Rattus norvegicus: one gene and its partner. The protein of the gene in region 2 binds, or shares a complex with, the protein of the main gene of each other region. Links are inferred from orthologs where the notes say so. Each region holds a gene or a part of one and is shown on either strand. Other genes may lie near its edges. The genes, in order: Trim28 and Smarcad1.

The links.
Region 1: the proteins of Smarcad1 (region 2) and Trim28 are in contact, whole or in part, in a crystal structure (PDB 6H3A), measured with the Homo sapiens proteins. The link is inferred for Rattus norvegicus from reciprocal best matches to the Homo sapiens genes SMARCAD1 and TRIM28. Residues at the interface, in NP_001362784.1 of Homo sapiens: Asp156, Leu157, Ala160, Lys161, Gln163, Thr164, Glu167, Leu168, Phe169, Asp188, Gly189, Ala190, Ala192, Leu196, Ala201, Gly202, Gly203; in NP_005753.1 of Homo sapiens: Arg330, Trp333, Thr334, Lys337, Ile338, His341, Leu376, Lys377, Ile379, Val380, Asp381, Val383.

What each region holds. Positions count from the first base shown.
Region 1 is NC_086019.1:82,723,564-82,727,909, forward strand, and holds the start of Trim28 (transcription intermediary factor 1-beta), read left to right. Parts: upstream 1-1,331; 5' UTR 1,332-1,614; coding exon 1,615-1,960; intron 1,961-2,249; coding exon 2,250-2,362; intron 2,363-2,585; coding exon 2,586-2,718; intron 2,719-4,346. UniProt on the Homo sapiens protein: Nuclear corepressor for KRAB domain-containing zinc finger proteins (KRAB-ZFPs).
Region 2 is NC_086022.1:95,648,307-95,652,115, reverse strand, and holds part of Smarcad1 (SWI/SNF-related matrix-associated actin-dependent regulator of chromatin subfamily A containing DEAD/H box 1), read right to left. Parts: intron 2,463-3,809; coding exon 2,285-2,462; intron 160-2,284; coding exon 1-159. UniProt on the Homo sapiens protein: DNA helicase that possesses intrinsic ATP-dependent nucleosome-remodeling activity and is both required for DNA repair and heterochromatin organization.

The DNA of each region.
Region 1 (4,346 bases), on a different chromosome or scaffold from region 2:
GTAGGCTTGGCTCACAGGCACCCTACCCTGGTGAGTCTGGCCCCAGCAGTCCGTGGGGCCGTGAAAATATTCGCAAATATTTCTACGGGAAGCCCGCACTCAGCTTCCAGATTATACTATCCTTTTCAGAGGTAGAAGTGAGAGTCCAGAGGCTGGGTCTGGTGGGGGCGTGGCCCGCCGAATGGTGAACGCAGAACTGCCGAGATAGGAACAAAGGCTGGGGCGGGGCAAAACCTTGGGCCCCCAGCTTGATTGGGAACAAAGGCCACACCCGGGACAGTGGCGGGACACTCCTCGCCTCTCCGCTGCCACGTGGGTGAACACCTGGTTCTGCACGGAGGAGGTAGACTCTTGTTGAGAACCCTAGAGTTGCTTGTGGGCAACTCACTCTAGCCCAGACCCAGACCGTACCCAGTACACTGCAAGGCTGCAGAGGCATCCACTCAGCACGGCAGTAGAATGGCAAGGGGTACAGGTTGCCTTTTTAACACTGATCCTGCATCTGAGATGAACCGCTTCACCGCTCTTGATCCTGCTATTCTTTTCCTTAAATCAAATTCTTCAGCCAAGGTCCTGCTCCTCATGCAAGATTATTCCCCAGGTCTTATTTCTCCCTCAGATGAGATTCATCACTCAGATCCAACTTTTATTCCTTCGCGTTAGATGTTCAGTTCTTCCACCTCCAAAAAACCCACTAAAACCAGAATAGCAGAGGACTAAAACAGAAGAGGCTTTCGAAAGACTGGGCAGAATTTTACAGAATGGTTTCTCAGTACCTCTCTGTGATCTGCGGTTTGACTTGGACAACTTTTCGCTTCCCGAGTTTAACAATAAAAAAAGTTTGGGTTAAGACCGCCTCCACGCTCGGCGGGAACTTCCTGCCAAAGACCCCCTCACCCCCTCCACCTGGGCTCGGTCTCTGTGCTCAGCCGTGGCTCCGCCCTCTTCGGATTGTCCCGCCCCTCTTCGCGGACTATAGGCCAAGCTGCGGCTGCGGACGTCGCCACGCCTGCTAAGGAGGCGGGGCCTAAGGTACGGTTCTGCACGACTCGCGCTTTCCAGCACGCGAGGAATAAGCCTCGGTGCACTGTACGGTGGGCATGGGAGACATCACGCACGTACTCCGCGGGTGAATTTCCTACCGGTAGTCTTGCTATCCTGGACCTAGAGGGGCGGCTGCGAGTAGAAGGGAGGGCCCTGGCGCGTGCGTAATCTGCCTGCGCCCCGCCCCCAGGCTGCGGTGCCCAACGCGCGTGCGCGACGTCGTCGGCGCCAGATATTTCTGTCCCGCCTCCAGGCCGCGGCTCTTTCTGCGAGCGGCGCGCGGTCGGGCGGTTGTTCGCAATTCTTGCGGCGCGAGTCTCAGCAGCAAGGGAGGAGGCGGCGCGGGTGGCGGCGCCGTCGTCTGTAGAGAGGCCGGCAGCCAGCGGCTTGGCCGCATCTCGGCAGCGCCTGGGGCGCGGCGGGCGTCGGCCCAGGAGACGCGTGGCGGCGCTCGGCCTCGCGGCATCGGCGGCTGCCTGGCCGTTGGCGGCGAGCGCACTTGCGCCTGCGCAGCGGGCTCGGTGCCCCTCCTCCCCTGGGCGGCCCCCCCAACCCCCCGGCGGCGTGTGAATGGCGGCCTCGGCGGCGGCGGCGACTGCGGCGGCCTCGGCCGCGACGGCCGCGTCAGCGGCCTCTGGTAGCCCAGGGTCGGGCGAAGGCTCGGCGGGCGGTGAGAAGCGCCCCGCTGCCTCTTCAGCCGCGGCGGCCTCGGCCTCCGCGTCGTCCCCTGCGGGGGGCGGTGGCGAGGCGCAGGAGCTTTTGGAGCACTGCGGCGTGTGTCGCGAGCGCTTGCGGCCTGAGCGGGATCCTCGGCTGCTGCCCTGTCTGCATTCGGCCTGTAGTGCCTGCCTTGGCCCCGCTACACCCGCCGCAGCTAATAATTCGGGGGATGGCGGCTCGGCGGGCGACGGCGCTAGTGAGTACTGGGTGGCCAGGTGCCCCTCCCCCCTCCTTGAAGCCCGTGCTCGGGACTGCGCCTGTGCGAGAGTATGGGGGCCCGGGTAGGGTTAAGTAGGCCTGCTGGTTTAAGAGGGGGCGGGGAACGGGTGCTGGCGGCTTGCAATGCCGGTTACCAGGTCTGGACACCGAGATGCAGACTGTGGGGTAGGAGTCAAGAAAGCCGAGTGTCTGGCTCGACTTTTGAGTTGGGGGCATAGCTTAGGTGAGCATGCAGTTAGTTTTTTCACACATTCTTGTCTTGGCAGTGGTGGATTGTCCAGTGTGCAAACAACAGTGCTACTCCAAAGACATCGTGGAGAATTACTTTATGCGTGATAGTGGCAGTAAGGCCTCTTCTGATTCCCAGGATGCTAACCAGGTATGTCCTTTGGGATATCTTGTAAGAGAGGGAGGCATCTTTTCTGAAGCATCTCACCAGCTTAACTAGTTTGGATAGTATGTTCATAACAGTCTGAGTCTCTGGAAGGGTAGTACAGATTTGAATGCATTATGTAAAATTTAGTTTGTGTTTTCTGGGAAGTAAATAGAGGTCCGTTGGATAGTTCTGCCTGTTCTAACCCCCGCCTTTACTTCACTCACAGTGCTGCACTAGCTGTGAAGATAACGCCCCAGCCACTAGCTATTGTGTGGAGTGCTCTGAACCACTGTGTGAGACCTGTGTGGAGGCTCACCAGCGGGTGAAATACACCAAGGATCACACTGTGCGCTCCACGGGTATGTTGAAGATTTGAAGGCTGTTGGAACTGCCCTTTCTTGGTTGACTCAAGTGCATACTTGCAGGATGGGACAAGGTGTTTTTTTTAGGAACCTGACACAACTCAAAAATGCTTTGGTTCTGGAGCAGACTTTGGAGGTCTAGGTGGAAAGGGAAAGGCCACAGGTAGAGGATGTGTAGGGTTATTTAACACCTGCTACAAGTCAATACTAGGGATTCAACTAAGGTCATCTTGGAAGTCTCCAGGGGAAGGTTGTAGGTCCTGGTGGTGGGTCGATTAGCATAAGCAGCTAATGAAGGCAAGATGAAGTGACTTGGATTTGGATGTTCTCTGGCACCTGGCTTTAGCTGCTGAAAAAGGGCTTTTGAACAGGGAGAATTTCTTGACAAGTTAAGACTCTTAGGCCATTGTTTAGGGTGAGTCCTGGAGTAATTCAGCAGCAAGCCTTCAGCATCTTCCTAACTAAAGCTTATGGTCAGATTGATACCTTGTTTTCTGGGTTTGGTCCTGACTCTGATGTGATGGTGAGTTTCTTCCTACTTGGAAGGACATTGTTAAGGTAGTAGTAGAAGGCAGTTGTAAGGCCGGTGTGAGAAGTCAGGAGTGATAGGAAGAGGACTGCTCTTACTAGTGGTATGTAGTTTGGGCTTGGTTAATACAGCCTGAATTGGAATAGCATCGGGGAGAAAAGGGACTGATAGGTCAGTCCATACTTTTCTATTTTGGTGAGACACTGCTCAGGCTAGCCTTGGACCCCTCCCCAGACAGTTTCTGTGTATAGCCCTGGCTGTCCTGGAACTCTGTATAGGAGGCTAGCCTCTCAGATTTGCCTGCCTCTCCCCTGGGATTAAAGGTGTGTACCACCTGGTTTTCCCTTGAACATTTTATGCCCCTCCCACAGCTCCAAAGTGCTGGGATTAAAATAGGCATTTGGAATGTGCATGTTCCCCGCCCTTTTTGTTCATTTGTTTTCAAGACTGGGTTTCTCTGTTACGCCCTGGCTATCTTAGAACTTTTTTTTATTTTTGAGGCAAGGTCTGTATATAATCCTGTTCTTTAACTCACTAAGCCAGGAATCAGGGTGGCCTTCATGCAGAGATTCTACCTACCTCTGCCTCCCCAAGCGCTAGGTTTAAAGTTGTGACCCACAAGGCCTTTTTTGTATAGGTAGATGATAGCTCAGCATATAGTTCCTACTAGCCCATCTGGCCTGTAACTCACTCACTGCAAATCAGATTGGTCTCAAAGTCAGATCTTTGTTTTTTTTCTTTTTTGCCTCCTGAGTCCTGGGACTCAGGACTTTTGAGCATTTCACTGTAGAATCAAGTTAAGATTTTAGGAATGTGAGTACACTGTAGCTGTCTTCAGACACACTAGAAGAGGGCATCGGATCTCCATTACTGGTGGTTGTGAGCCACCCTGTGGTTGCTGGGAATTGAACTCAGCACCTTTGGAAGAGCAGTCAGTGCTCTTAACCGCTGAGCCATCTCTCCAGTCCAACAAGTCTGTTTTTTAATTCACCATATGCAGTTCAAGCTTACCTTGAACTTGTGATCATTCTGTTTCCTGGGTGCTGATAATACGATTAGTATTTTTAACAATAAGTGCTGGTGTTAAGTACTCTGA
Region 2 (3,809 bases):
AGATCACTGTCACTTCTTTGTGGAAACAGTTCCTTCAATGTCTGAAGCTTAGCATCTTTAAGATCTTCCAATTCTGAAAGGTCTTCCAGTTCTGAGATGTCATTTCTTCGTGTAGCAGAAGGAAGGTCATGGGATTCTTCATCTTCAGATGGCTCTGAACTACAAATATCACATGGGAAAACACAATTTTAATGTATTCCGCAAAGGCTTTCTGTCATTTACAGGAATTAACTATAATCAATATATGTCAAAGGAAAAGAATTTTTACCATCTTAACACTGTTAGGTATTCAAATATAAAATTGGAAAAGTTCTGATTATTTCAACCGTGAAGGAAAAAAGAAGTGTCTGTTTCTCACTGATGTAACTACACACAGTCACCAAACTTCTCACCTCCTTCCTAAACTTTTGTCAGGATTCAGCATGCTAGATGATGCTGAGGCAGTATGAAATGTACACTGATACAAAGATACAAAATATTTCTTTGAATAGCTAAATTATCTGGATCTCAGAGATAGAATTATCAGAAAGGTCCTACTGGCTATCAAGGAAAATAACATCTCAGCAAACAAGGGATATATTACACAAGAGGGTTTATACTATAATAACCCATTTTAGTCTTGTTCCCCTCTGCTATGCTTAACATTTACAGCAAACTTTACTCACTTATCCCCCAAGCAAATCTGTCAACATTTAGTTTTCTAAGAGTAGAATACACACACTCAGAACACATGCTCTAAGACTAGAACGCCCTCTCTGTGTCTCTCACCTTTACGTTTTAATTTTCCTTTCTTTTTCTTTTAAGACAGAGTAAGATGGTATTAATCACCAACTTAACACATGTCTAGAATCAGCTGAGAGGAAGGCTTCTGGAGGACCTGTGAAGAATTATCTTCATCATCTTACCTGATGTGGAAAGATCCACATTAATTATAGGCAGGATCATTTCCTGCCCAAGGATCCTAGACCATGTCAGATGAGGAAGCAAGCTGAGCACAAGGAAGCACAAATTCTATCACAGCAACAAGCCTAGATGGCCTCTAAGGATGGCCTTGAATTCCTGCTTCTTATGCCTCCACCTCCCAAGTCCTTAGGTTATAGGCTTGTACCACCACCTCATCTTGCCTCTTCTCTTTCTTTTTCTTCCCCAGGCTAGGAACCTACGCCATTTGGTTTGAAAGATAACATAACACTCTACCTCACATAACAGCAAAGAACACAAGTCAACAAATTTTAAAATACCACTCACTCCCTTTCCTACTCAAATAAATCTGAGCTATAGTTCATTCTAATTGGAGGCCTAAGGTTGAGAAACATCCAAGTTGAAATTTTTTAATGCCAAAAGGGAATGAGACACAAAATATGTAATTCCCTTACCAGATACAGAAGCCTACTTGACAGGGGTCATTATCTAACTAGACAGAACAATTAGCTCATCAAAATGTGTAAAATCATAAGCCAATAAATAAATAAGCATCTATATTCTATAGTGACATTTGTTATACTCTATATGGAAATAAATGAGTAAATGAGGAGAAAAGGGTAAAATTTCTGAATAGTAGAAAACTAGTAATAGTATAAGTTCTAAAATGACAGTCAAAATACCCAACTTTATAATTAGCATTACCAACAGAGGCAAGGATAACAGGATAAAAATGGACATAGGCACTACCCAATCCCGAAAAATCTCTCTACACTGTTTAATCATCACAAAGGGGGAAAAATGGTAGCTCATCGGGGGGGGGGGGAAATAAGCAAAGACAGACAAAAGGATACCATGTACTTCCTAAGTCATGACATGATGAGGACACAAGATCATTTCTGTAGATCCTTCCACTAAACTTACATTTAATCATAAAAAAAAAAAAAGCAGAAAAATTCAAATTGAAAGATATCCTAAGAAAAGCTGACTGGCACCTTTAAAGAGAGTTATAGTGAAACACATGCTGAGATATAATTCATAATAAATGAAATTAAAGAGACATGACAAACACAAATATGATCATAATGCAGAACTGCTAGGTACTTGCTCCTAGACTCCATAACAAATCACAAAGAAATTACAGAGGATTAACAGTACTAGTTAAATCATTTCCTTATCTTTAGAAGTTAATATCACAATTTTCCCACTAAACCTTTATAAATAATCATTTTGTAGAAAACATAAGACAGGAAAAATAGTAAAAACAAAGATGAATAAAAGCAAAATAATCACACAAATAATTCAAATTAGTTATTTCTGAAAACTAACATGCATAAGCATAACTGACTGTGAAATGGCTTACACTATAATTACTGTGTCTTTGCTGAATTTTTTCTCTTGAACTGTACTGGAACAATTTGGAGAAACATCTTCACTATCAGATGATAAATCAATATATTCCTGTATTGTTCTTTGATTTTGGAAACATGATAAACTTGCTTTGCTTTCATTGTCTGGAGGTTCTGGAACACTAGAATCTTCTGCAAAACAAAAAGAGATATTCTGAGCAAGACCAAAGTAAATTTTTATTAACTTCATTCATGTGCTATTATTTAAAAAAAGAAAAAAAAAATCACCAATTCCTTGCATTGTTTCTGTCTTAAAACCAAAATGTCTTTCCATTGACACAGAACAGGAGAGGAAAAACTATGGGGACATGAAAAGGCCCTAATGCCTCGCTGAAGCTTCTCCACAACTGAGAACCAAGAATTACAACAGACTCAACCTTTGCTTAAGGCTTTCTCTCTTCCCAACTGTAAACTTCAAGTTTTTTAGAAATCTCACCAGAGATTTAGAGTAAAGTTCTAACTCCCTTGTACAAATTTAGTGTCTTAGTTTTATCCTATCTGACTAATTGCACTGATAAAGCCATCTATCTCAGTTATTAAGAGAGGAATAGAAAGAAAGAGATGGAATGTGCCTCTAAACCTACAGAACAAGAAAATTCCCAAAGCTTCCAAAATCTACAGTTACCCCCCAATCAACTATCATGTCCTAAGTTCTGAATTGGTTTCTACCCAAGCAACCTCTTAGCTCATGCTTAACAGTGTCTTGTAATAAACCTCAATCTGCTGCACCCAGGCTTATCCAGCCAGGAATTATTCTCTGCAAGAACACAAAATTAATTAAGGTATCAAAAACATTAAAGGAATTCCTCAAGCTACTAAGAGTGACAGACTGGAGCAGATGCCCCTACCATTGCTTATACAACGTTTCTTTTTTTCTTTTCTTTGAGAAAACATCTCCCTATCCTCAAGTCATAACATCCCTGAATCCACATGCTTTAGCATCTAAGTGCTGGGATTACAAGGCATAAACCAATATACCCGGCTCTCCTACAACTCTAAGTCTCAAACAAATCAAACCCAAAAGATAAAAATAATTGGTACTCCACACACACACACACAGATTCAGGAAGACAGGTAACCACTAGATGATACTAGGCCCCAATGGAGAGCTCCAATCCAATAGTCAAACAGGTAGTCCTGGCTAAACTAAATAGTTCACAGAATAAAACCAACAGTCATGAATCTGGAAAAAAGTTAGTAGGCATGGGTGGAGAGAGGTTGCTAAGGCTGAGAAATAGATGGGAGGTTGTTGACCACAGTCAGAATAATTACACACATGTATAAACTATCAAAAAATCAACTTTTTAAAGTTAAATAAAAATAAAAGTAACTGATCAATAATTTTTTAAGTGATTATTAAGCACTCAGCCCTAATAACCCTGTAGGATACACAGCTTATCACTTTCTTGTAGATAAAACTAAAGAATAAAAAGGCACGTCCTACACATCTAAGAAAGGAGTAGTTCTGACACCCCTGCC